Linked DNA regions of Mus musculus: all the other regions are reported to be linked to region 2. Evidence: microRNA targets listed by miRTarBase, many of them from high-throughput screens and not tested one by one. Region 2 holds a microRNA gene; each other region holds the end of a gene's coding sequence. Distances are from middle to middle.

Region 1 (7,120 bases), 61 Mb from region 2:
ACAGCCTTGGGTATCATTCCTCACCTTCCAGCTTTAGACAGGGTGTCTTTGTTGTTCCTTACTGTATATGCCATGCTAATTTCCACAAGCTTCTGTGGAAAGCTGTCTCTGCTTCCCATCTCAAAGTAGGACCACTAGAATTGCAGATGTGCACTGTAGTGCCCAGCTTTTCTTGGGCTGGATTTGCACTAAGGTCCTAACACTTGTGCAGCAAGTACTTTACCACTGAGCCATCTCCCCAGCTCCTAACTACTATATACTTAATGATCTTAGTTGTTTGTCTTGACACAATGTCACTGTTAAACTCAGGCTGGCTTTGAACTTATGATCCTCCTGACTCAGCCCCCAAGTGCTGGGGTTGGTTACAAGATGTATGCTGCCATGCCCAGCTTAATAATCATTTGTAAATATTTTGTGCATTTTACACCATTTGATTTCTTGAATTTAAACTTGAAATAGTTAAAGAGTTAATGAACTATAACAGATTGGAAATTAAATAACATAGTATTTGTCCACCAGAATTTATTGGGGGCTATTTCTTTAGTACTGTAACCAGCATATGTATAAATGTAGCATCTTTAGCTTCTTGCCATTACCGTCTGCTGACTGTTTCTTTTGGTTTTTTTGTTTTGTTTTGTTTTTTGTTTTTTTCAAGACAGGATTTCTCTGTATAGCCCTGGCTGTCCTGGAACTCACTTTGTAGACCAGGCTGGCCTCAAACTCAGAAATCTACCTGCCTCTGCCTCCCGAGTGCTGGGATTAAAGGCGTGCGCCACCACACCTGGCTCTGCTGACTGTTTCTCATGTTATCTTTTGTATTGTAAGGTATTGTTGACATCTAAGTCAGGAAGTGAGATTCCCTAGATAGTAATATGAAGTGCTGTGTAGACGTCTCTGTGCTCTGGAATTTATGTGACTCTGGGAATTCTTCCTAGAATGCATGTTCTTCAAGTAGCATATTCCTTAGGTCACTAATGCTTTCACTGTCTTTATTTTTCGTTTTAGGGAAATTAAAGCCAACCATGGCATTTATGTCAGGAAAGTTGAAGATTAAAGGAAACATAGCCCTAGCAATCAAATTGGAGAAGCTAATGACCCAGATGAATTCTAGACTATGAAGGACAAGAAGTAACAATGTTGACTCTCCTCAGAAGTAAAAAGCTCAGCAGTTAGAAATCTGTTGTCTCCCCCACTGTCATGTAAGGACATATAAGTTTGTTCTAGAAAGAAGTAGAATTTCTGTATCTATAAGATTTGAAACTGTAACTAAAACAACTAACCAATCACATACAAGTTTAATTAAGTGACATCCTAATATATTGTGGTTTTTCCAAGTTTTCCTCTCTATGCCTTTATTTCATTCATTGCTTTCTTGCAGAAAAGTATGTATCATGAACAACCAATTGGTATCAAGCAATAAAATTAGCTGTTTACAAAACTTCTTATGTAAAATGAAGCTACTTTATCTCCACAAAGACAGTTGCATGAGGGTTGGGTGAAGAACTGCAGTATCATTTCTTTCTGTAACCCTGACTGGCTTGGGACTCACCCTGTAGACTAGGCTGGGCACGAACTCACAGAGGTCTGCCTGCCCCTGCCTCCTGAGTGCTTTGACTGAAGGTGTGCTCCACCACCACCTGGCGGTTTTTTTTTTTTTAAGGACTTTTATTTTGCCTGGCTGTGTTTTATGAACTTCAGTGCATAATACTTGCAGGCGAAATCTTGTTTAACTTATTATAAGCATTTATACTATTGATACTATTCTAGATATCTTAAAATTTTCAGCTTTTCTTTTTTTTCCAAATGGGTTAACCCAACTGGCCTTAAACTGGGGTCAGTCCTCCTGCCTCAGTTTTCTTAGTGCTATTATTATAGACATGAGACACAATGCCTGGCTTTATTGAGCTTTCAAGTACTAACATATAGAAATATAATTAATTTTGTGAGTATGCCTTATGCCCTACAGTAGTCAGATCTACTCATTACCTTTAGCAGCTTCTTAAAAACAGATTCTTTAAATCGTGTTATCTTCAAATAAAGATGAATTTATCTTTTTTCCATTCTATGTGCCTTTTATTTCTTTTTCTCGTCATATTGCACTGACCCACCAATATAATGGTGAATACTAATGGTAATAATGGATTCCCTAACCTGAGGAATAAAGGAAGACCTGTCTCAAATATCAAACTATACAAAACAAAATCAATTTTATTTAATACATAAATCACTATATAATTTATTCACTCAATGCCCCCCCCCCCCAGAATTAAGCAACCATCATCCCAATGAAATAGAACCTTTAAAAAATTTACCTTTTCCTCTCCCTCCATCCCTTCTTTCTTTTGTATCCTGTGTGTAGTCAGGGAACCACTTGTGGGGAGTGAGTTCTCACCTTCCACCATGTGGGTTCTCAGGATTGAACTAAGTTCATCAAGCCTTCACATTCTGAGCCATCTTGCAGGCCCCGATCAGAATGTTTTATCTCCCTTCCCCAGACATGCACTTTAGTATATGTCCCCCATCAACAAAAGATTTCAGTCCTATGCAACCCCCTCTTGCTCCTGACTTGCCTGTTCTGGACTTATGTGGAGAGTCACACTTCATCACTTTCCTAATAGGCTTCCTTCACTTGGTGTAATATTCTCCAGGTTTATTCATGCCATATAGACATAAAATTTTGTTTGATACATTTGCATCAAACATGCATTTGGGGGCTTAATGTAAGTTACTTGAAATCCGTTTTGCCCTGTCACCTTTGGCTGACTCAACCCTTTCCTTCTCAAACAGGAATTCATGCCACGTATAATGGCCCTGCTAAAATTCTGCTATAGTGGTTAAAGATATAGTCCACTTGTTTTTTATACCCATGACTCAAACCAAACATACTTGACAGCTACTAACCACAGTTAAAACAAAAACAACAAACCTAATAAAACACCATCATAGAGTCTTGGGGAAAAAAATCTCTTTGCCAATGTTTTCAAAACCCACCCAATCTGTAACCTGTCAATGGACCTAATGGACAAACACGGTACCAAAGATTTCTTTTTTAAAATTATTTAATTTTATGTTTAGGAGTGCTGTATATATGTGTACCATGTGTGTTCTTGGTACCCATGGAGGTCAGAAGAGGGCATCAGGTTCCTGAAACAAGTTACAGATGGTTGTGAGTCACCATGTGGGTGCTGGAACGAATCCTAGGTCTTTTTTTTATAAAAGATTTATTTATTATCATATGTACACTGTAGTTGTTTTTAGACACATCAGAAGAGGGTGTCAGGTCTCATTACAGATGGTTGTAAGCCACCATGTGGTTGCTGGGTTTTGAACTCAGGACCTTTGGAAGAGCAGTCAGTGCTCTTAACCGCTGAGCCATCTCACTAGCCCAATCCTAGGTCTTTTGCAAGAACAATAAGAGCTTTCACCACTAAGCCCCAATTTCATCTCTTTCTGCTTCTTTCTTGCGCACTAGCTGACTGTCCTGCTCTCTCCAGATGTGTTAGCCTCCTGTCAGCACCTCCAATCTTCTTGAGATCTGAGAAGAATAAGTTCGTGCTTTATTCATTTTGGATCCTGAATCTAACTTTTGGTCATTGCTCTAGAAAGTCACTATTTTGGATTATAGTCAAAACAAACAAACAAACAAAAAAAACCCACAACAAAATCACAACGAACATTACTTAATTCCTGTACTGTCAACTAAATTATACAGATTGATGGACATTTGAGCTTTTCAAGTGGGGCTATTATGAATAATGCTGCCTGTGAACGTTTAAATTATTTGTGCTGATATATTTTTATTTCTCTTGGTTATATACCTAGAAGTTCTGCAGTGTTGTAATTTTAACCTTTGGCAGAATTGCCATTTCAAAAGTGCATAGCACCCTTCAATCCCATTAGCATCAAAGTAGAGTTCTCCTACCCACATCCTTATCAGAGAGTGTTTCCTGCCTTTGTCATATTCATCTTAGTGGATGCACACTTGCCATCTGTCTTAGGGATTTACTGCTGTGAACAGACACCATGGCCAAGGCAACTCTTATAAAAAAAACATTTAATTTGGGCTACCTTGCATGTTCAAAGGTTCAGTCCATTATCATCAAGGTGGGAGCATGGCAGCGTACAGGCAGGCATGGTGCAGGAGGATTTGAGAGTTCTACATCTTCTTTTGAAGGATACTAGCAGAATACTGGCTTCCAGACAGCTAGGACTAAGGTATTAACACCATGTCCATAGTGGCATACCTACCCCAACAAGGACACACCTCCAAATAGTGCCACTCCTTGACCCAAGCATATTCAAATTACCACATTCCACTCCCTGGCCCCCATAGGCTTGTTCAAACACATGAAGTTATGGGGACCATATCTAGCCATAGCATAATAAAAAAGTACATTTAGTTTAACTTCCAAAGTCCCCATAATCTATAGAAGTCTCAACAACGTTAAAAGTCCAGATTTCAAAGTCTTTTGAGATCCATCCAATCACTTATCAGTAATCCCAAAAGCAATACAGCTAGGCAAACTCTGCATCTTTATGTCTGATGTCAAAGCAGTCTTCAAATCTCCACTTCTTTTTCATCTTTGTTGACTAGAACAAAGTTCTCTCTCCTGGGCTATTTCTACTTCCTGATAGCAGCTTTCCTCAGCAGATACACCACAGCTCTGTCATCCAACATCTTGGGATCTCCAAGGCAACTTCAGTGTTACAGCTTCTTGTTCCAATGTCTGGGATTCACACACGATCTTCTGGGATCCTCCAAAGGACTTGGGTCACATCTCCAGCACTCTTGTAGCACTATAGGCTCTGGTTGGCTCTACCCCACCACTGCTGCTGTTCTTGGTGGTCATCCTATAGTACTGGCATCTCCACTACTCTGGGGTCTTCTCCTGCAACTAGGCTTTACCAATAGCCTCTCAGAGGCTCTCTTCATGCTTTGCATGACTTCTTCAGTCCTGGGCCATCAATTACAATTGAAGCTGCACCTTCTCCAGTGGCCTTCCCTGGCCTCTCACAGTGCCAAGCCTCAGTAGCTCTTTATGACCCCTTTCATACCTTCAAAACCAGTACCACCTGGGTGACTCTTACACATTACCAAGTCCAACTGCAGCATGAGGTACAGCCTTGGCTACCTCTGGGGCACAGCTTTTTTTGTGATCTCAGAAAATACTTCCCAAAAGATTTCACCTCAGTGAAATGTCACCTCTCTTCTTAATCACTGCTTTCTTAGCTCCAGCTAACCAGCACCAATTGTCCCAGTAGTCCCTTCTATTCTGAACTCTAAAGCCAGGGCCACATGTCTGAAGCTGCCAGGTTCTGCTGCTTGCTGGGGCTGGAATACACCCCCCCCCCTTATTCTATTGCCAGCTTTCAGTTTTCCAACTCCTTCACTGCCTAAACTTGGCTGTCAGAGAACTTGCTCTGTAGATTGTCCTTGAACTCAGAGATCTGCATGGCTTTGTCTCCTGAATGCTAGGATTAAAGGCGTGTACTTAAGCTTTTCTTCACCTAGAACTTGCTCTGTCCCAAACTGACCTTGAATTCAGAGATTTGCTTGGCTTTGTTTCCTGAAATTAAAGTTGTGTACAACCCTGCCTGAACCTAATTTTAGCTGGGTGGGATCATGCCCCAAAGTCCTACTCCCTTAATCTGTTATCTTCTAGAACATAGGAGTCAGCTCCTTTCTACTTCCTAGTGTCCCTTTAATACTTAAACCATATGTATTTTTCCTTTCTCAGCTTGCTCCTTTTCATTAAAATGTTCTTCATAAGAGTGAACTTTAGTAATCTTGTGACAGAATTTATAACAAGCTGTTTTGAGGCTTCCTTTTTCAAAGTAGTTAATCTAAATCTCTTCACCTTAGTCTCAGGCAGACTCTTTGGCCAATGGCAGAAAGCAGTCACATTCTTCGCCAAAATACTAGAAAAACAGTCTCTATTCCACATACTGAAATTCTTCACTGAAACTTCATTGCCTTGTCTGCCCAGTTTAAATCACTCTCAGCAACAAAGTCTTCCATATTCCTACTAGGATAGCCTGTTAAGCCCCACTTAAAGGATTCCACTGCTTTCCAAATTCAAAGTTCCCAAATCCACATTCTGCCAAACAAAGGCATAATCAGGCCTATAAGAGCACTACCCCACTCCTGGTACCAACTTTTGTCTTAGTTAGGGTTTTATCACTGTGAATAGACACCATGATCATGGTAACTCTTATAAGGATAACATTTAATTGGGGCTGGCTTACAGGTTCAGAGGTTCAGTCCATCATCATCAAGGTAGGGACATAGCAGCCCTGGCAGGCATGGAACAGGAGGATCTGAGAGTTCTACATCTTCAGCTGAAGGTTGCTAAGAGAAGACTGGCTTCCAGGCAGCTAGGACTAAGGTATTAAAACCCACAGTGACAAACCTACCCCAACAAGGCCACATCTTCAAATAGTGCCTCTCTTTGGGCCAAGCATATTCAAACTACCCTATTGTGGTCTTGGTTTATATGTCCCCAGTGGGCTCTATTTGGTTATTTTAAAATCCTAATGTATACTAAAATCCTCCATTCTGTCATGTATGACTTGATCATATTAATCACAGCTATTCTAAGGGTCTATTGACCAGGACATCTGGGACATATTTATATGTTTGGACTGTCGTCTTTTTCATTTTGGATTTTTTTTCTTATCATATGTGATGCCAGATACTACGTATTAAATTTTATTTTTAAAAGCTCCTCCACCAAAGATTTATTTTTCGCAGACAGAATATTGGAACTTCACCAGCCAGGGATGGAAGTAGTTCAAGGCTTAGTTGTAGGCCCTGGTGGAACCAATTTAATCTGATTTTGCTCAAGACAATCTGGTTCATCAACAGCCTCAGTTGAGGCACTGAGGTGTTTAACCAGGACCACCTTTCTATTTAATAACTCTTTCCAGTAGTGTCTTATTTAGAGTTACTACTGCTGTGATGAAACACCAAAAGCAAGATGGGGAGTAAGGCACTTAAATTTGGCTTATATTTCCACATCACAGTTTATTATTAAAGGAAGTCAGGACAGGAACTCACACAGGGCAGGAATCCGGAGGCAGGAGCTGATGCAGATGTCATGGAGGAGTGATACTTTCTGGC
Region 2 (7,120 bases):
ATGTGATGGCCTCTCTCTGTACTGGTCACACTTGCCCCACCCAAACCTAAGAGACACTGTGTTACTAGGTGGGTACTCCCTGCCACTCACAGACCTGACCCTGCTGAGGCTGTGCAATGATGATCTGTCCAGGCTGGATGGTGGTCGTAGAACTGGTGGTCTGCTGGCCTTGCTGCTGTCCCTGGACCTGGACAGCAGTGGGCTGCTGAGCCAGCGTGAAGTAGTACTGGACAGGCTCCGCAGGAGTCACAGACTGGCGTACCTCCTCCTGTGGGGTGGAAGGAGAAGCAGGTAAGGGGAAAAAAACCGACTCAGCAACCGCCACAGTGAATTTCCACTCTTCCCTGAAACAGGCTATGTGCAGTTGCCTGCCGAATGCTGAGCTCTCCACATTTGCAGTCAAAGGAGAAGTGGAATTTGGAGACCAGTTGTGCTAAATCAAACTAAAAATAACAGTTTCTATAGGCTTCACAGAACATACAGCCAATTTTCTGAAGTCCCGAGTAATCATCCATTGTGTGATGAGTTGCAAACAGGCAAATAATTACCATAAGCAACAACCATGCACCAGCAGAGCTTGTCAGTAGATTCTGTCAAAGCCTGCGATGGAAGATGCTACCCAAACTTAATATCCCCAAGTCCCAGAAGGGATCTATCAGGGAGAGAGGAAACAGCTTTTCCTAGGCTTTTCCAGCTTTTTTTTCACAACACACTGAGAGCTCTATGTTCATCACTGATGTGTCTACCCCAGCAGAGCATCTAAGTCTAGTTGTACTTAGCCACAGAAGTGCAACCCAGGGGACCTGATGATAGCTCTCCGCTGGGGCGCTGCTTTGGCTGACTAGGGAGGCAGCATTCTGTCCGATCTGTCGGGTGAAGAGATTGTTCTTCAGCTGACGTTTTCCATGGCAGAAGGAGTAAACAACCCTCTCCCAGCCACCTTGAGCTCACAGCTGAGAGTGTAGGATGTTTACACACACTACAACATGGTTACAGCCCAGGGGTTGGTAGGTCTCTGACCACCTAGAGATCAGCGTCTCATCCCGAGTGACCTGTGACACATAGTGTCCCCGTCCAGGACAACAAATATATTCGACCACATGGGCTGAGTAAGAATATTAGCTAATTTTATTCACTTCCTTATTCAGAGCTTTCCCTGTCAGGTTTCAAAAACGAGATACTTCTCAAGGTACTGAGACCTTCTCACCTGCTCAATGCTCTCTAAAGTGCACTTCCATGACACTGTCATGGACACTTATTGCAAGATTTTGTACTTGCATGACAAACTGTCAGTTCTGCTCAGATGTAAGTACTACTGCCTCTCACTTGCTTGCTTGCTAGCTACTGTCCCTGGTAGTTCCATACAGGTACTGGTATATACTACCTGACTGATGAGTCTACTTATCAGACAAAGAGAAAGCTGGAGAGAGAGAAGTACTTTTCTGAATGCATACTGACTGCAGTATTAATTCTTCTAAACTGAACAGCTATAACCAATAACTCTACAAAAGAGTACCTCAGATCTGTGACCAAGTGTGTGGGAAAAGTTGTCCTTGTAGTACCAGGCTAAGTGCCTGCCTGTTAATCCTGTAACTGGGATCATGAATAACTAGCCTCTGAGACATTTCAATCGCAACATAACAAGGTTCCCCAATGGTCATCAACCCAGAACACAAAACTGTTCCTAACGTTCTGGTTATCCAAGCAAGTCTTTAAGCATAAGCTGACCTTCTGCGATAATGTAGTCTATGCTTCAAACCCACAGTTTCAGTCCTCAACCTTCAGCAGAGGTAAAAAAAATATATATATAGAGCTCCTTTTATTTTCTCAACTTCAAGTCAAAGCCAGGTCCATTTCAATTTTGGTTTCTTTTCCATTTTAAGCAAAAGTCAGCTGGCAACCATGTCTTGGCAGGGATACATACCAATACTCCTTTAGACCACAAAACTGAGGTCAACTGCTCTTTCCAAAGCTGTGGAAATAAGTTCAGTGTCTATTTTTCCCCTCACTGAGATCTCCCCTTCCTATTTTAGAAATAGGAAGGCCGGACTTAACAGTGGAAACACTCTTAGCTTATGAGAGTATTAAGAACTGAGAACACAGAGCAGCTGGGGACACGGTCCCTTCCTGCCTTTGACCTGTGATCAGCTCTAGGTGTCCATAATTACAACACTGAACAAGGGTTTTGTTTTGTTTTTCCAAGATAAAAAGCAAATTCTTTAAATACTTCTGCCAGAACCCAAAATAGTGCTTTAGCAAAAGCTCTCAGGCAGGCAGGTAGCCTCTCCCATGTTTTCTACTGCATCCTCTCAGGTAATAATGACTTAGACAGTTTCTAGAACACTGTTGTCAGGACAAGCATGGCTATTTTCAAATTGCTGTGATGGAAGGAGGCACAAGTAAGGTTCTTCTGCTTTATGAAGCACTCATTCTGCAAATGGAGATCAAGCCAGCAGGAAATGATGATGCTTGATTTAAAGAAATGGGTGAAAAGATAATGACATTTCAATGAGCAAGGAACTTTCAACTCATAGCTTAGTCGGGGAGAAGTCAACCCTCAACTACCATCTACTTGCAGACAATCTACTTACTTCCATGGCAAAAAAGAGAGAGGGAGACTCCAAATCATCTCTGAGAAGCCTCATAATCCAGTGTCTCCCTTTCCAGATGGATCAGCACCAAGCCCTAGGAAAACACCTGACCGAATAGGTCAGTACAGAAAGGTACCTGCTCCATGCTAACACTCAGTACAGAAGGGTACCTGCTCCACACTAACAGTGGCTTCTCCAGTGCTGAGACTGAAAAACAGTGACAGTGAACAAACAGTATCACAGCACAGGGTCATCACTACACTGATGAGCAGCCAGCTCCAGACTAGGGGAAAAAATACATTTGCTTTAGTGGCAGGGTGAACTGCTGCCTCCTTCAGAGGGTGTGTTTTGGAGAGTAGGCACTTTTAAAGGACTTTAGGAGGTGCCAGCCAATTTGGAGCTTGGGAAAACTTCATGTCTACAGAGAATTAAAAAATGCTATCTTAGAATTTCAGGCCAGCTTTCAGCAATCTCAACCTTTTAAATGCCAGGCAGCAGCTGTCCTGAATAGGATGCCAATCAATAGCTCAAACACCTACAAAGAACTAAAACCAGGCAGCTAAAGGAGTGTTCTTGCTGTATACCTTTTAAAGGGAGATGGACTAAGTATAGTGGTCCATGCCTTGAATCCCAGCACTCAGGAGGCAGAAGCAGATAGATCTCTCCGAGTTCCAGAACAACCTGGTCTACACAGTCTAGTCTAGCCAGGGATACACAGGGAGAGCCTATCTCAAAAATCCAAACCAAACCAAAGAACAAAAGAGGGAGATGGGGTAGACCACCAGCAAATCTAACACCCTGACAGACCCAGAAGAACAAACAACTTTGGAGGAAGGTATAGGTCAGCAGCTCTCAACCTGTGGGTTGTGACCCCTTTGTGGGATGGAAAGATCCTTTCACATGGATCACCTAAGACTACTGAAAAACAGATAGTTGCATTAAAATTCATAACAGTAGCAAATTACAGTTATGAAATAGCAATGAAAAAAATTTTATTGTTGGGAGGTTATTACAACATGAGGAACTGTATTAAATGGTGCAGCATTAGGAAGGCTGAGAACCACTGGTATAGGATAATAACTTTCTCTTTAGTCATCTATTCAGCAGGCAGCCCATAGTGAACAATCAGTACAATAAGAGCAATGCCTGACTGCATCACAGATCTTACCACCTTGTCTTTAAAGGAAACTCCTGGTGGATACATGGGAGCAAAAATCCAATAAGGAAAACAGGCTCATGGTATTATCAGCTCCAAACGAAGAGAGACAGTCTGAGTTCTTGTGACTTCTCAGAGAGAAAGGAAGTAACCCAAGAAAAGGAGACAAGTTCATGGGCACAAACCTGCAATGTCTCAAAGCCGATGAGCGCAGCCGGGGACGACTGTGGCAGCCTGCCGCTGTAAACATCCGACTGAAAGCTCCTCTCAACACCTTACAGCTTCCAGTCAAGGATGTTTACAGTAGCAAAGACTGCCCAGAAAAATAAAGAGCTTCAGTGAGGCACAACCTGCTCCCATAAGGAGGTGACCCAGGGCTTGCTAACCCAAAAACCCTCATGCAGGGTCAGAATTAATGTCAATTAGGATGCCCACTTCTCCAACAGGTTTTCTGACTGGTTATTTGTACAGGTCAACATGGGGAGAATGGTTGTCATTAAATGACTCTAAACAGTATACTACAAAATAATTAGTTAAAAACACTTATATTTTATGAACAAAAATAAAACAAGCAGGACATGGTATGGCTTTACTTCTCTGAGGCATATTACACTAAACCTAGTGAATCATGCAAACTGCGTGCCTGAAACAATGAGCTCTATAGGACTGGGGTCTATCACAATCACAACTAAGTTATATGCACCCAAGTGCTGAACAAAACAAATGGTGTGATCTTTGGAGATGAACAGGCAGAAGAAGGGCAGACACTTAGTTCTTGTAATTAAAAAGAAAAATGTAAATGGTGGTTCTAAAACTTCACTGGACACCAAAGCATCTAGGGAACTTTAATTATTGATTCCTGGGGTCATGGGGTCATAGGTTCTGACTCAGTGGATGATGGGTAGAGTCATCACACTACAGAGACACAGCATAGAGTAAGAAAATAAAAGCCACTGGCTCCAATCTGATCACTATGCACAAAGAGGTTGTTTCTTAGAATCTGAAAACTGACTGGCTGAAAAAGCTTTTATTTTAGATGAAGAAATCCTGAACTGAGCTTCACCCCACTATCTGTGACTAGTCTTTTTAACTTTGTTCTCTCACTGCAACCCCACCCCAGAGGCACTGAGTTAAAAGTACCCATAAATGAGTAGAAGGAGATGCTGAGGATGATCTGGACTACGGAAGAGAACCACAAACAAGAAATGCTTTGGGTGGGAGGGAGGGAGGAGCTCCGGAGAGCATCTTGCCCAGGCCCTGGAGGTGGCAGCTGAGCAAATCCTCCCAGCTCACCTGGCGCTTTGGAGGTTTCAGTTCATCTCTTGGAACAATATCGATGAGAAAGTCGAACTGATCAAATTTTGTAATTGCCATGGCAATATCATTCCTCTGTAACAAAGAAAAACAAAGTTAAAAACTGGCCTAGGAAGAATCTAGTTCTTTTGGCTGTTATCCTTCAAGTAAAAGGACATGATCCTCTCCTATCCCCTAGTCCCAGTGTCTGGGATTAAACCTAGAGCTTTACACAAGCTAGACAGGTATTCTACCATTGAGCTATGCCCCAGCCCAAGGAGATGACTTTTAGACTGTACTAAAAATCTCTAGGTTTGTCTAGAGCTAAAAATAAGAACAGCTCAATTTATATCAGACTTGCTGGACAGAAATCAACGAAAGAGATACACATATCTCGTGCTCTAGGCCAGGACATCTGAGCCCTACTCACCACTATTTCTGCTTGTTCTGGTTTCAAAGCTTCCATAAAGTTGTAAAACCACCATCCTCTGGCTAATTCAGGACAAAGCCAGCAGTCTCAACTGGCATTCTGTGGTCCACAAGGTCAGCCCATCATTCACTTGTATGATCTTTTTAAAGGCCCTAAGCACTGTTTGTTGTTGTTGTTGTTGTTTTTCTTTTTACAGGCACTTATAATCCAGTCGCTTGATTTTTATGTTACCTATGGGTTTTAGTTTAGAAATCAAAACTGCACTGCTTAATGAATAGTTTAATCCGAATTTGAGCCTGAATACTCAAGCCTGAATTTACTATAGGTAGGTAGTGAACACAGAGCTGAAAAGAATGTCACAAGTGGACTTTCTCTTCAAGTCTGATATTATTCCCCTTCCTTTGAATAATAAAAATCAACACTTTTTCTCCCATATGATTTGTGTACTTTATTGAAAGTTTTAAGGTTAAAAAAACAAAAACAAAACCACTAAGCTCAAGTGAGTGATATAGTTAAGTATATATGGGAAAGTAATTTTTGAAATGTATTTAAAAATAGATCACTTTATGGCTGAAGTGAGAGGTATGATAAATTTGTTTTTCTTACTTTATTTATTTATTCATTCATTCATTCATTCATTCATTCATTTCCCCCCTTCCCTTCTTCCTCTTGCTCCTGGGCCCCACTTGCTCCCGGGACCCACTCACTCCAGTCCATAGGTTTTTTTGTTGTTTTTGTTTTTTGTTTTTTAAAAGTATTATTATCTGTTTCTCATTATGGATGGTTGTGAGCCACCATGTGGTTGTTGGGATTTGAACTCAACATCCAGAAGAGCAGTCAGTGCTCTTAACTGCTGAGCCATCTCACCAGCCCAATTTGTTTGTTTTTCAAGACATGGTTTCTCTGTATAGCCCTGGTTAGTTATCCTGTGGCCTGCTAAAGTAAAACTTTAACAGCAGAATTTGGGGAAAAACTAAACAGGTACGTACTATAAATCCTTGACAATAGCATAACAAGGAAAAGCAAACAAACTCAAAAACTCCTCAGCAACCTCTCGATCCCACATCTGAAGCAAAGGGCCAAAAGGAGTCATGGAAATGTTCTGTTTTTTCCTTCCCTAGTATCTGTCATGGTCCCAAGCCACTGAAATGCAAATCTCCAATCCACCCTTCTTGCCAACTACCAACTTCATAATAAACCCTCCTAACGAAGAAGGGCATTATCTTACAGTCTGCCAGAACTCATCTAAGATGAACACACTAGTATAGCCTTCTTGATAATGACACCTATTCATGCTAACTAAACAGCTCCCTAAGAATGAAATGAAGGAAAAAAATAAAGTACCTCCAAACACACACAAAGGCAAACATTTCAATTCACTTAAATTGATCTTTTCTACCCTTCTTATAGCTCAGGTTAGCCCTGAATTTGGGGGGGGGGAGGGGGAGAGGGAGAAGAAGAGAGAGAGAGAATATGCCAAGGATGACCTTGTACTCCAGAACCTGCTTTCACTTCCCAAGTATGTATCTGTTAGTTTGATGTTTCGTTTTGTTTTGAGACAGGGTTTCTCTGTGTAGCCCTGGCTGTCCTGGAACTCACTCTGTAGACCAGGCTGGCCTCAAACTCAGAGTTCCTTGTGTCTCAGGAATG
Region 3 (7,120 bases), not on the chromosome of region 2:
ACTTTCTATCTAGTCTTCCACTCCTCCCTTGTGTGCTCAGCATCTTCTCTAGGGAAAAGCTTCTCTTGTTGGATAATTTTGGCAATTCCCTGTCAATCCTTGAACACTTTCTGACATTCTGACATTAGAGAACACAGAACATTTCAGTTCCATCTTTATTGTTTCCCTGCCTCACCAGAATCAGCCATATTCTCAGGGCCCAGGTTCCTTTCAATGTTGGATGACATTCTAGACTACTTTCTGGGTGCTGCATCCCCTGTAGCCACTGAAAGTCACTCAGGTACTAGCACTCATGTGCCAGAACACCAAAGTATCATGGCTGCAAGCCCATTTTTCTCAGTCACTTCCAGCTGGTGTACACATGCATACATGGATGCTCATATATAGACAATTCATTTTAGATTTTAAAAGGAATCAATTATAAATTGCTGGTTTTCCACTCCCCAGGCTGTTCCTCCTTCGTGACAGCCAGAGTAATCCAAAGGCGTTCGTACTGACACTGTGCCATCACCAGAAGATTAAAAACTTCCAGATCTTACCTGTAAGTACCGATGCCTTCAAATCAGCCCGCCCTTCCGAGTCCCCTGGTTCTGTTTCTAGTGCAGTTTTCAATTTAAACATAAGCTTATAGATAAGCACCAATGGCCTCAAGTCTGGGGAAGCAGTTCTCAAGAGACTCCAAGAGGGAATGTTGCTGAGGCTGCTGTTGCCCTGAGACCTCAGCTTATGTGTAGCTAGCTAGGTAGGAATATCTAGGTCTCCTGGACTCTTACAGCAGATTTGACATTGGCTCTTTTCAGCACAGGAATGGTCTGACCTGAGTAGATATGTCTCGTGGCTGCTCAGAATTCTCAGAATTCTAAAAGGAACTTGCTGATGGCTAAGTGGCTCCCAAGGGGAGCTTATGTTCTTCTGCCTACTTGGTCATTGGATCACGAAACAGTTCTACCCTTGGTCCATTCCACTGTGCCATTAGAGAACACCTTTCTCATCCCCTTTGCTTTCCTTTTTAAAAGCATGGAAATTATGAGACTGGCCGATATAGTCTGACTCTCCCTGCCTGCAGGGCCACAGGTTGTCCCCCAAGGTCACACTGTCTAACATGGCAAATGTTTTCTGTGTCCCCACAGTGCGAGGATGATGGGCAGACCTTCTTCACTCTGGATGATGGGAACACCAAGTTCTCCGATCTGATCCAGCTGGTCGACTTCTACCAGCTCAACAAAGGTGTTCTGCCCTGCAAGCTGAAACACCACTGCATCCGCGTGGCCTTATGACCTCCTTGCCCACTCACAGAGGCTGGAGGCAGCGACACTGGAACGGAGAAGAGAGATCTGCATGAGGGTGAGAACACACACCTACTCCCACCCAAGGACTCAGAACAACATGGCTTTTTGATCGGTACCAACCGACCTACATCAATTAGTTATTGGACTTCACAAAGATTTGCCGCTGTGGATCAAACAGGACCACCTCCCTCTGCGTCAGCCATTTAAAATTGGGGGAGGGAAGAGATCCAGTGCAAGTGTGGGAAGAAACTGGAATGACGATTTTGATTAGGCCACGTAGGGTGAAAACCGCAGAAAAATGATTGGAAATGAACTCTTGCCCTGGAATAACCTTGACAATTCAAACCGCGATGTTTACTTTTTGTATTGATCACTTTTTTGCACTCCTTCTTCGTTGTCGATGTTGTACTCAGCCTATGGTAGGAGAGGATGTGGCTTTGCAACTCAGATCAGACAAAGAATTTTTGAATTGGCAGGCTTTAGCCTACAAATGGGTCCCCCAAGTTTTCTAGATAACATCCTGCTCTCTGCAGGTTGCGGCAGTGTGGGTTTGGCTCCAGTCCTTCCCATTATACTTGAAAAGCTTTTTTTTTTTTTTTAAATAAAATAATAAGATAAAAGGTGACAACCGCAGTTGACACCTAGCATGTTTTGTGGACGCAGTCAAGCTGCCACAGTCTGGTCATCGTTGTTGTTGTGCTGACGTCTGGTCATGTATTATTAGTGTGTCTCGTTCTCCACGGTGCTGGAGACCTCATTACTTTGGAAAACTCACTGTTCCCCAGCACAGCACAGCTGCATGACCTCAGCTTCAGACTGATGTCAGCCAGCCTTCTTGGAACACATTGCTATTCATTGTGGATGCCACACAGTCCATCTGGGGTGCCCTGTGCCTCCCATTTTCACAGCCGCCCACTGTTGTAGAATAATCGCTGCCTTTACCCTCTGCAGTACCCTCAGTCATTTCACTTCTCCCACAGGGGTGGGGTAGGGGTGGGGTTAAAGGATCGAAAGAGAAAAAAACGCCAACTTGTTGGCCTTGTGCTCTGTCACTCTGAGCATCTATGGTGATAAAGAGAAGGAAACGCTGCAGAGGCACAAGCATAAGCTGGCTTTGAGTCTTTGAAAGCTTGATGGCCTCTGCACCCTACTGAAAACCCCCTAAGCCAGCAGGAGCAGGGTATGCAGAGGCTTTGCCTCTGCTGGCTTAGGGTGAGAAGTACCTCACAATGGATGTGAACATTGGACAGATTTTAGGAGCATGATGTTTGCCTCCTCCGAGAGAGAGGAGTCAGAGAGAGAGAGGAGTCAGAAGGTGGCCGGAGTTATCATTGGGTCCCCTGAGCTCCATGAAGGACCCTCTGTTGTCCCCTTGATGATTTATCAGGCATGAGAGTAGCAGACAGGATTGCCTTGAGAAACACACAGACAACAACGGTGGTGAACACATTTCCCTTTCTTGATACCACCCAGAAAGTCTGCTACATACCTGAGTTAGCCACTAGATTGCCTGTCCCGACTCATTGAAGTGCTCCCCAGGGAGCCACTTCTGATTTGCCATGGTTGACAGCATAGTGGAAGATAGATATGACAGCGCTTTGTAAAGCAGGCCAGTGGCAAGCTGGCCCACAGTAGAGAAACACTGTAGTTCACAGACCATGCAACCGTGTTTCCACGAGATGTTATTACAACAAATGAAGAATTTTTTTCCTTTTTTTTCATTTTAATCTTTTTTGACTTTTTTTTAGTTAACCATTTTTTATGCATAAGTGCTCAAATGCATTTCTCTTTCTTTCGAAACTAGTTAATCGTTAAGTTGACAATGAGAGAATTCTCAAGTTCATACCTGGCAGCAGGCTCCCACTGATCTTCCCCTTACAGACAGATAACAGACATTTCAGTTTTACCGTGCTCATTTCTTTTTGCTGACTTAAGGTCAGAACTTTTACAGACAACAAACAACCCTAGGGTTTCTTTTTCCAGTTTACACAGACCGGTCCCCACAGTGCAGAATCCATTTCTCTTTCGTCTCAACAGTAGACAACTAGGATGTGGATCTCATATTTATAAGTATGCATTTTATTTAAGAGGAAGTATAGGCTTGACTCTGGTTCACAATTTCGTACGTAGCTGGTTTGACGTAGAACTTTGTACTTCCCTTGCCGAAGTGAATTGTTGAAGGCTGCAACCCACCCACCTTGAGTGTAGCAGACTTCAGTGGCCCCGAGATCGCCAGCCCTTTGCACAGGCAGCTGGGAATTCCACCTGAAACAGCTGGTCCCTAGGTTAGCGGGTTCCCAGCCCCCCTAATCAGAGACTGAAGGACAATTGACTTTTATTTTTGTATTTAATTGACATGAATGTAAAGGGGACAGCTCAGGGTTGTTTTGGAGCCTGTTTGACTTTGTAATCTCTGCCTGTGATTTTCTTTTCTAAATGACGACTCCGTGTAACCACCTGGACTAAGTTGAGAAGGAAACTGCCAAATGCTTTGGGTTTTTAGGGTTTTAATAGGTAGACTCTGTTCTATTATTAGGTGTTAAGAGTTTCCAAACGTGTTTTCTTTTTTCTTTTATTGTTTGCTTAAACTTTGAAGAAATATGTGCCTCAGCTTAGATGTTTTGTCTTCCCCTTTCTGCACTTAAATACCTGACAGCCTGTTCGATCGCTGTGCCTCCGAGGGCGCTTCTAGCTCATCGTAGATTTGTGATGTCATAGTGCAAACTGCAGTGACCGGTAAAATGACCTGACATGTAACCGTTTTCAGGGAATGCAGAGGGTGTTAACTAATAGACAAAACCTTTATCCCGCGTGCTTTGCTTCACCTTGTGCTATATAGCTCTTTGGCTCGTGAACCTAATTGTAAACTTTCAGGTATTTTTGTACAAATAAGGGACTGATGTTCTGTTTCTTGTTATTAGAAATAAACATTAATAAAGCGTTCTTGGTGTCCTGTCGTGTTTTTTTTTTAATGCTTGCGCCGATATCTATAAACTGGGCTTGGGGCGGGTAAGTTCAGAGGGTAGGAGTGCCTGCCTGCTGCGAGCACAGGAGAAACAGATTTCAGATCCCCAGTACCTGTGGAAATTAGACAAGGTGTGGAGCCAGTTCAGTTATGCCAAGACAACCTTGGCCAAGAATCACAGGCCTGGGCTGGAGAGAGATGGCTCAGATGGTAAAATGCTTGCAACACAAGATAAAGATATGTGTTACAACCGGGTAGTGGTGGCACATGCTTTTAACCCCAGCACTCAGGTGGCAGAGGCAGGCAGATCTCTGACTTTGAGTAGAAATCTGTCTTGGAGAAAGAAAGGAAGGAAGGAAGGAAGGAAGGAAGGAAGGAAGAAAGAAAGAAAGAAAGAAAGAAAGAAAGAAAGAAAGAAAGAAAGAAAGAAAGAAAGAAAGAAAGAAAGAAAGAAAGAAAGAAAGAGAAAGAAAGAAAAGAAAGGGGAAAAAAGCCAGAGCCCCCAGGGAAACCAGTGGTAGCACACACTCATAATCCCAGTGCTAAGGACAAAACCTGACCTCGGGGCTCTCTGGCACCCAGCCTAATTGATAAGCTCTGAATCAAATCAAAGAACCTGTCTCACAAAACAAAGTGGATAGCACCTGGGGAATGACACCCAAGGTTAAACCGGTGGCCTCCACACAAGCAGGAGCATTCTGTTCATGGACACCTCTATACCCAGGACTATGTACAGGCATGCATAAGGAATCACAGAACTTGGAGGGTTTCAGAGAATCAGATATCCACGAAGTTTAATAAACGCCTCCAAAATCAGACCTTCACATTTGACAAGGTATTAAAACATCAAGGATCTGGGCTATTCTTGCCAAATCAGAAACTAAGGGGTCTTATAAAGACAGCTCAGCAATTAAGGGCACCAGCTGCTCTTCTAGTTTGGTCCTAGCATTGACAAGACAACTCACAACCACCTGTTAATTATAGTTCCAGGAAATCAGATGCCCTTTTCTGGTCATCTCGGGCACCAGGCATATAAATGGCACACGTATATGGGAACAAAACATTTATACACACAAACTAGAATATACTACTATTGAAAGGAATTGGCAAATTAAGAAAATGGACACGCTGGCCATTGCTATCATAAGCCCTCACTGGAGGGCTCTCTGTCTTCATGCCTCCTTCACAACCTACCCCTGTCACCTGCAATGTTTGGAAGACTAGTTCATGTAGTTTTAGAGCAGGAGTCCCTAGACTATGGAGATGATTCAGTGGACAAAATGCTTGCTGTGTCAGCATGGGGAACCAGAGTTTGGGTCTCCAGAACTTAAATAAAAGTCAGGCAAGTGTGGCAGCTCTGCAGTCCTCTCATGTAAGGCAACAGTCTGTACGACAAGCAGGCTAGCCAAACTAGCCAGAACTGGTGAGCCTTGGGTTCTGTGAGAGGCACAGTTTCAGCACATTTAAGTAGAGGGTCTCCAAAGAAGACAACCGATGTCTACTTCAGGCCTTGACATGCACACCACACACACTGTGAATCTGTCCCCTCACAAAAACAAGCAAATCTCAGAGGCAGGGCAATGATGCACCACACCTCCATCCCATCATGACACAGCACTGCTTCACAGGTCATAGTGAGAGCCAAGGCCGTGATGGCATGGCCAGACCACAGTTCCAAATGTACTTTGGTCACTCCAAATAGGCCAACAGAAGCCAAACAAAACAGCACATGTGGGAAGAAGAAAAAAATGCTCTGAGCACAATGTGAACCTTGATATCACTGCTTCATAAGTGGTTAAAGTATATCTTCTGTGCCAAGCAGTGCATATAACTATAATCCTTTAATTCCAACACTTGGGCGGCAGAGGCAGGAGGACAGTTCTGTCAAGACTGACCTTAGCAATAGAGGCCTGAAGCCAGCTTAGACTATCTGAGACTCTGTTTCAAAGGTTATCTTTTCAGTGATCATGAAAACACTAAAGTAGAAGATTCAATCACACGACTTTGTACATTTGCACTTAGACCTCACTCTTAAAGATTGGGAACAGGGCTGGTGAGATGACTCAGCGGTTAAGAGCACTGACTGCTCTTCTGAAGGTCCTGAGTTCAAATTCCAGCAACCACATGGTGGCTCACAACCATCCATAATGAGATCTGACTCCTTCTTCTGGTGTGTCTAAAGACAGCTACAGTGTACTATACTAACATAATAAATAAATCTTTAAAAAAAAAGATCGGGAACAGGATGGAAAATGCTTCATGGACACTATCAGGTTTGTCTCAGTGTGTTTTCTATTATGGTGATAAAACACCATAACCAAAGTCAACTCGGGGAGTTAAGGGTTTATTTCATTTTACAGTTGTCCATTTGGAAGGGAAGCCAGGGCAGGAACTCAAGGCAGGAACTGACTCAAAAGCCATGGAGGACCTCCTCACTGTCTAACTTCTAGCTCGCTCAGTGTGCATCCTTACCTGTGCCAGAACCACTTGCCCATAGACGGCACTGCCTGCATCAATCAAGAAGACACCACACAGCCCACAGACTGGCCTACAGTGTGACAGAGGCGTTTTCTTAATTTGAAGTTCCTTCTCGGATGACTTTGTATCAAGTTGACAAAACATTAGCCAATTGACTTTCTTTTCACCTTGATACACAACCTCATCACTATTAAACCATAAACTTTCCTTTCTTGTTTGTCCCTAAGGATCCATGTTAATATCACAAAATAAAACAAAGCAGAACTTTATAAAGTCTGTAACACTGTAAAAGTCCAAGTTCTATTAAAAAAAAAAAGTCTCCTTGAAAGTCCAAACTCCTGGGGCTACAGAGATGGCTCAGTGGTTAAAGGCACTGACTACACCTTCC
Region 4 (7,120 bases), not on the chromosome of region 2:
CCCTAGAACGTTGGGCAATTGCCTCCAAATCTTGGACGACTTAATGATCAAGACCTAGACTCTGAAGGGGCAAATTCATCCTGACTCGAGGAGGCACTCCCACAGAAAAGGTGCTAGTCACGACCCGGAGCTCTTCCTGACTGTCTAGTGTCCTTTCAGGATTCCTACACATTGGTATCTCCCTGTGTGGATGTCTGACCTACTGCTGCTCACAGTGTGGGGCCCTCATCTTGGAGAAGGTGTGTGCAATGCACACCCTCGGGGAACATTTTTTTTTTCTAACCACAATTTCCATGTCTATAACCTGGTGAGAACCAAAGCAGGGTAAGAGAATCAGCTCAGCCGGGCGTGATGGTGCACGCCTTTAATCCTAACGGGAGGCAGAGGCAGAGGGATCTCTGTGAGTTCGAGGCCAGCCTGGTCTAATTGAGTCCAGGATAGCCAGAGCTACATAGAGAAATCCTGTCTCAAAAAATAAACAAACGGGCTGGTGAGATGGCTCAGTGCGTAAGAGCACCCGACTGCTCTTCCGAAGGTCCAGAGTTCAAATCCCAGCAACCACATGGTGGCTCACAACCATCCGTAACAAGATCTGACTTCTGGAGTGTCTGAATAATATATAATATTTATAATCAATAAATAAATCTTTTTTTTAAAGTAAACAAACAAAAATAAAAACAAAAGAAGAGAGAGAGGGAGTCAGAGCTTGAAAGTAGGAGCTAGAGATCACTGCAGTGTGAACATGCTCATGGAGGATGGACGGAACAGGTCTGTCTCCCCACCAACACACAAAGCCCCAATATGCCTTACCTGTGTAGTTTGTGTAGGGGTGGGCCTACAACATTTGAGTCCACAGTCAAGGTCTCTGTGTTTATGTTCAATCCCTCATCTCAGTCCTTTATCCCAGGCCACACACAGAAAACCAGATCAGAGGCTGGTGAGATGGTTCAACAGGTAAGAGCACCCGACTGCTCTTCTGAAGGTCCTGAGTTCAAATCCCGGCAACCACATGGTGGCTCACAACCATCCGTAACGAGCTCTGACTCCCTCTTCTGGTGTGTCTGAAGACAGCTACAGTGTACTTACATATAATAAAGAAATAAATAAATCAAAAAAAAGAAAAAAAAGAAAAAAAAGAAAACCAGATCAGAATGAAGTCATCAAATTTAATTGTCCCGCTCCAGCCAAAGAAGATCTGGGGGTGGAGGCTGAGCTTGAGAGGGAAGCCACAGCTGGCTCTGGGTGTGCAACTCTGGGGACATTGGCTATCCTTTAACCCCTGAAGACCTTTGTCTTTGGCTGGAGGCACACTTACAGCCTTCGCAGCTGCAGGAGCCACCTGTGGGAAGGAAAGAGAAGCAGTGAGCTAGAGACACAGGCAAGAGCCAGGGCAGGGTCCCTGAGGGCAGCATTGCGGTGCATGTCTGGGCCCGCCATTCACCCCCCTGTCCTGTGCGGCACACAGAAGCATGCCATGGGGCTACTCCACCCTACTGCTGGGAAGTACAGTCACTCTCAGATGTTCTTCCCACAGGAAAGAAAAAGTGAGGCGCTCCAGAGCGGCCAGTGCACGGACGCAACAGGTTACCGCCCAGTTCTTTCTGCCTTGAAATGAGAACCTTGAGAGAAGGAGGAGCTGAAACTTAGTAACTTCCGAGGTGCGGTGAAGCTGCTGAGGTGGGGGTGGGGTGGGGGGACGGACAAACTAGCAAAGGGCTCCTTAGAAAGAGAACCAGCAGTGTGCAGTAAGGAGTCCACTTCATCCAGAAATGAAAACAACTCTGGCCAGGTGTGGCAAGCATGCGTCTAGCAGGCCTGCCCTTCTCCCCCATTCCCTCTGTCTTGCTGAAAAAACTGTGAGATCACATTCCTAAAGCTCACCACCAAGGTCTGTTCTCTTATGTGGCCAATCCCTCCTCCCGAGGCTGACTACCAAGGTCCAGCTATCAAAGTGTTGAAGTGCGGCAATCAAAAGCCCCCTTTGGCTCACCTAATTAACACGCCCAGTTAAAATTAAACACCCCCTCCTAACACAGAGTTTCCCCTTGGTGGTATATAAATCACCACTTTCCTGTGTGCCAAGTCTGCCTCCTCTCGACCCAGAGACAGTATTCTGTTTCTCCAGGACAAATATTCCTGCCCACCCCAATCTGTCCCCCTTCCCTTTCTCTCTAGTCCTCTATCTCCCGTCTTTGTCCCATATTCCCTGCCCTCTGGCCCTCTGGGCCAAATAACTTCACCATGTCGGTGCTGAGACCTTAGTCTTGGGGGTGTTCCGAGCTAATACTTTTTATTTCAGAAAAAAACGTGTGCTCTGAAATCCTTTATGAGGGACACAGGAGCAGAGGAGCAGCTGGGGGCCATTTCCACTGCAAATGACTTGAGGTTCAAAGAAATGAACAAAAAATCAGCTAGGCTTCTGAGAGGCACACAGAAACCAAGGAACCTGCCTGCTGCTGCTCACTTTATAGTTAAAGCCCCACTCTGCGTGCAAAGGTCCTGCCAACACTTTGCACCCATGACTCTCAGCTGGCTTGCCGCTGGCTGGGTTGTGCAGAAATGTACACTTCCGCTCCCTGAACAATTTGAAGAGGTTGAACCCCCCGCACCCCGGGAGGCTTAATAGGTAATAGGATAGAAGACTGGCAGCTTCTAAGTGGGTTCTGGGCTGTGTGCAATAGCCCCGCCCTCTTCGCAGCACCAGCGCACTCGTCCTTGCCTTAGTTCTACCAAGTGTAGCAGAGCTGAGCGCAAGCTTCCCACCAGGAGCAGTCTCCGCGTGCAGAGGGTGCACCCAGCAGGGGGCGTTTCTTCTGCGCCCGCCACTGGGCGGCCCGCAGGAGGCGGGGTTTTGCGCTCAGCTCTACGCTGCTTGCAATCACCCTGATTTTTTTTTTTTTGGCCAGTTCTAGCAAGTTTGCCGGTCATTCCTCCCTATTAAAGTTCCAAGAACCTAGTCCTGGCTGTTTCCCACCCTCAACTCTTCACTATGGTAGTCACCTTGCTCTTCCCGTCAAAGTGAGAGTAAGGTTAGTGTGTGTAGGTGTCGCTTCTGTGACATTGCCAGTCTTTGTCTCCACCTCCTTCCCTTGTACCTAGAAAGAGGACAGACACGGGACTTTGTCTCTGCTTTCCATTGTTTATACAAATAGGTGCGGGTTTTGGCCTAAAACTATCCTAGGCTCTCCATAGCCAGTGAACCCTCCCTAGTCCACTGGGCAGTTTTTGACACAAAGTACTTCATTTAAAGTTGGAAGACTACAAACGTGGGAAAGGTCCTCAATCCCTGGTCACAGTACTGGAATTTGAAAGAGCAAATTCATCCTGACTTTGCAAGAAACTGTCACCTAAGCCACAACAGTGGAGGCCCTCCCAAGGCGGGATATGGTGTGCACAGGGGCCATCGGGGCCATCACTGACTTCCTTCGGGATGTCTGGGCCAGCGCAGCTGCAGGTGTGTGCACACGGGACACTGCAGTGAGCAGCTGTGTGCAGAGGTTAATCAATTTCCCCCTGAGTTCATATATTTGTCTTCTGTCGAATCTTCAAAAAAGTGTACTTTGTGTTCTCTGAGCTTTTTTTTTTTCCTTCGTACAAATAGTATCATTTACTCCAATGTCACATTGTTGGGTGTGGCTGAGCTGAGTGCTGAGGGCGTTCCCTGCAGGGGTGTTTAAGGTGCCTAGAAAATGCATCAGGTGTAAGGTGTGTAGAAAATAAAAGCAGTAAGGGGTTAGGGTCTATCCTTAGAGTGCTTGCTGCCCACCATTGAGGCTCACTGTAGTGTGGATTCTTAGCACCTACATAACTAGCCCGGAGGGGCAGTCCAAATCTAAGCCCAGTGCTGAGCGGACAGAGGTGGATCTCCAGGGTTTGCTAGACATCCAGTCTAGCAGAAATACAGTTCTAAGTCCTGCTAAAGATCACGTCTCACGGGCTAGAGAGATGGCTCAGTGGGCAAGAGCACTGACTACTCTTCAGAAGGTCCTGAGTCCAAATCTCAGCAACCACATGGTGGTTCACAACCATCTGTAATGAGGTCTGACTCCCTCTTCTGGAGTGTCAGAAGACAGCTACAGGGTACTTACATATGATAAATAAATAAATAAATCTTAAAAAAAAAAAAGATCACTTCTCACAAAGTAAGGTGGGATGTAATGAAGATCTCAGGCCTCCACGTTCACCACAAACACTTGTGTGTGTGTGTGTGTGTGTGTGTGTGTGTGCATGGGCAGGCACATATACACACAAATTAAAAATCAAAGTATGTAGAACATCTGGGGACCAAACATCTGGGAGTTGTCATACTCTGTGACACTTTTTTTTTTTCCGAGACAGGGTTTCCTCTGTGTAGTCTTGGCTGGCCTCGAACTCAAGAAATCTGCCTGCCTCTGCTTCCTAAGTGCTGGGATTAAAGGAGTGTGCCACCACGCCCGGCGACACTTATTTTTGACATAAGGTCACATGTAGCCCAGGCTACCCTCTAAAACTTAATACCTGGGGCTGGTGAGATGGCTCAGTGGGTAAGAGCACCCGACTGCTCTTCCGAAGGTCAGGAGTTCAAATCCCAGCAACCACATGGTGGCTCACAACCATCCGTAACAAGATCTGACTCCCTCTTCTGGAGTGTCTGAAGACAGCTACAGTGTACTTACATATAATAAATAAATAAATCTTTAAAAAAAAAAAAAAAACTTAATACCTAGCCTTGAATTCCTGGCCTTCCTGCTGCTACATCTCAAATATCTTGATTACAGGCAGGACCCACGCTCTTTATCACTTTTTTTTCCATCTTTTTTTTTTTGGATATTTTCTTCGTTTATATTTCAAATGCTATCCCAAAAGTCCCCTATACCCCACCCCTACCCCCACCCCGCTCCCCTACCCACTCACTCCCACTTCTTGGCCCTGGCTTTCCCCTGAACTGGGGCATATAGTTTGCTAGACCAAGGGTCCTCTCTTCCCAGTGATGGCCAACTAGGCCATCTTCTGCTACATACGAAGCTAGATACACGAGTTCAGGGGGTACTGGTTAGTTCAGATTGCTGTTCCACCTATAGGGTTGCAGATCCCTTTAGCTCCTTGGGTACTTTCTCTAGCTCCTCCATTGGGGGCCCTGTGTTCCATCCAATAGCTGACTGTGAGCATCCACTTCTGTGTTTGCTGGGCACTGGCAAAGCCTCACAGGAGACAGCTTTATCAGGGTCCTTTCAGCAAAATCTTGATGGCATATGCAATAGTGTCTGCATTTGGTGGCTGAATAGGAGATGGCCTGGTGACACAGTCACTCCTGTAATCCCAGGTACTTGGGAAGCTGAGGCAGGAGAATCAAAAACTCAAGGTCAGACTGGACTGCAGAATGAGTTCTAGGACAAGGTAAGCAACTTGTGTCAAAACAGCCAAGAAAGCCCCTCTGGAATCTAGTTCAGTGTTAGTCCCTGCCTAGCATACGAGACACCCTATGTTAATTTTCATACCCACCTCCTTATACCCAACAATGTGAGAGGAAACCAGAATCCAAAGAGAATATAAATGATAAGATTTTCTGTGCTTCCAGGATGGGACATCAAGTCTTCCAGGACCACCCTCCCTCCCTCCCTTCCCCTAACACAAGACCTGACCAGGCACACAGCTGTTTTCCATGAGGAAGCTTATGGGATAGCTTGGCTTTACCCAAAGACATTACCCCTCTGTGAGGGCCAGAGGCGGGAGGTAAAGGCACGAGGGGGTCCAAAACCAGATCCCCAGACTATCAAGTCACCCCAGTTTCTTATTGCCAAACCACACCAAGAAAACCAGAGTTAGACTCAAACAGGCTTTTATTATTCACGTACTCGGTAGAAAACGGGGGTTTAGTAAACAGGGTGGAACTGTATAGGAAGACGCTGGGTTGGTCCGATACTATTTACACGTGGTGGCAGCGCTGTTCGTCACATCAGGCACAGCACGTGCACTTGTCCGCGGCGCCTTTGCAGACACAGCCCTGGGCACATTTGGAGCAGCCCACGGGACAGCAGGAGCAGCAGCCTAGAAAGGAGGAGGAAGAGGTCAGCCTGGCTGAAGACCTCTGCTTCCTGTCCCCAACAGAGAAGACCTCGGTTTTTTTAAATAGTTCTCTGTATAGTTCTGTCCCCGAGACAATACAATGGCCTCCGGGAAGCAAAGGACATTTCTCAGAGCCAGTTTTGTAGGAGTTCCCCGCCCCTAGCCTTAGCCGCCACCCAAGGTGTCCCAACTCACTCTTCTTGCAGGAGGTGCACTTGCAGTTCTTGCAGGCGCAGGAGCTGGTGCAAGTGCAGGAGCCGCCTGGGGAGGAGAAAGAAGACAGCATGAGGGAGGCAGCATTACAGCAGTGGCCAACACCACGAGTCCCGGCTCAGTTCACTAAGTCCTCCTCGGAGCTGCAGGGAGCCTAGCCCCACTTTTCTCCTCACAGGTTAAGTCAGGGATTATGTCTTTGAGTCCCAAGACATAAAGGTCCTTCACCTCTTTCTTAATTCAAGCAATTCACAGTAAGTTTAGTAATGCCTGGGACTCAACCCAGATGTCCCCACTAACTGGGTGATCAGGAACCGGACATTTGCGCGTCTAAATCCTAGCCCCAACCCCGCCAAAGGACCCGTTCGACAATACTCGTAACTAATGAAGGCTTTTGCAAGAGCGGATTCTAGAAAGAACCGGAATGAATCGCCAACTAAAGGTGCCTATTCCCGCCAAGCCTCTACAACTCGGGGATTCCGCTCTGCGGTCCCAACTTGGTATTCTAAAGACCAAGGATCGGGAGTCTTACCGGTGGAGCAGGAGCAGTTGGGGTCCATTCCGAGATCTGGTGAAGCTGGAGCTACGGAGTAAGTGAGGAGAAGGTACTCAGGACGTTGAAGTCGTGGTGACGCTTAGAGGACAGCCTGCCCTCTTTATAGTCGTTGGACGAGTCCGGGCGCAAAGGGTTTGCACCCAGCAGGCGGTTGCTCCAGCCCACGCATAGTCACGCGCCCCGCGTCCTTGGCAGAGCCGAGCGCACTTTTCGGGCGGAGTGCAGAGCTCCCTGGAGCGCCAGTGTGCACAGCGGGACCGCCCCTTTGGCACGACTGGCTCGGATAGGACGACCCATGTGACGTGT

The links. The annotated mature microRNA mmu-miR-30e-5p reads UGUAAACAUCCUUGACUGGAAG and lies in region 2 at 4,029-4,050, opposite strand. An mRNA with a match to its seed (bases 2 to 7 or 8) in the 3' UTR can be bound and repressed. Matches are read on the target gene's strand: a 7mer-m8 pairs with bases 2 to 8, a 7mer-A1 pairs with bases 2 to 7 and ends in A, and an 8mer does both.
Region 1: miRTarBase lists Hsdl2 as a target of mmu-miR-30e-5p. Seed matches in the 3' UTR shown: 8mer at 1,428-1,435.
Region 3: the mRNA of Grb10 is a reported target of mmu-miR-30e-5p. Seed matches in the 3' UTR shown: 7mer-m8 at 1,641-1,647 and 7mer-A1 at 3,272-3,278.
Region 4: miRTarBase lists Mt1 as a target of mmu-miR-30e-5p. Seed matches in the 3' UTR shown: 7mer-m8 at 5,856-5,862.

What each region holds. Positions count from the first base shown.
Region 1 is chr4:59,616,630-59,623,749 of GRCm38, forward strand. It overlaps Hsdl2 (hydroxysteroid dehydrogenase like 2), which reads left to right. Exons shown (of 11, transcript NM_024255.3): 11 at 1,006-2,065. The coding sequence ends at 1,118. Among named protein-coding and RNA genes, the nearest start is that of E130308A19Rik, 6.0 kb to the right of the region's middle.
Region 2 is chr4:120,768,632-120,775,751 of GRCm38, forward strand. Mir30e (microRNA 30e) reads right to left here and starts at 4,066; the gene lies at 3,975-4,066. It overlaps Nfyc (nuclear transcription factor-Y gamma), which reads right to left. Exons shown (of 10, transcript NM_008692.4): 5 at 5,041-5,136; 6 at 95-268. It overlaps Mir30c-1 (microRNA 30c-1), which reads right to left and starts at 991; the gene lies at 903-991. Mir30f (microRNA 30f) reads left to right here and starts at 3,975; the gene lies at 3,975-4,066.
Region 3 is chr11:11,927,620-11,934,739 of GRCm38, reverse strand. Grb10 (growth factor receptor bound protein 10) reads left to right here. Exons shown (of 17, transcript NM_010345.4): 16 at 448-541; 17 at 1,131-4,241. The coding sequence ends at 1,277. Among named protein-coding and RNA genes, the nearest start is that of Ddc, 33 kb to the right of the region's middle.
Region 4 is chr8:94,179,009-94,186,128 of GRCm38, reverse strand. Mt1 (metallothionein 1) reads right to left here and starts at 7,040. Exons shown (of 3, transcript NM_013602.3): 1 at 6,791-7,040; 2 at 6,241-6,306; 3 at 5,802-6,027. The coding sequence starts at 6,818. The coding sequence ends at 5,936. Gm39228 (a long non-coding RNA gene) reads right to left here and starts at 2,710. Exons shown (of 2, transcript XR_001778759.1): 1 at 2,465-2,710; 2 at 1,147-1,339.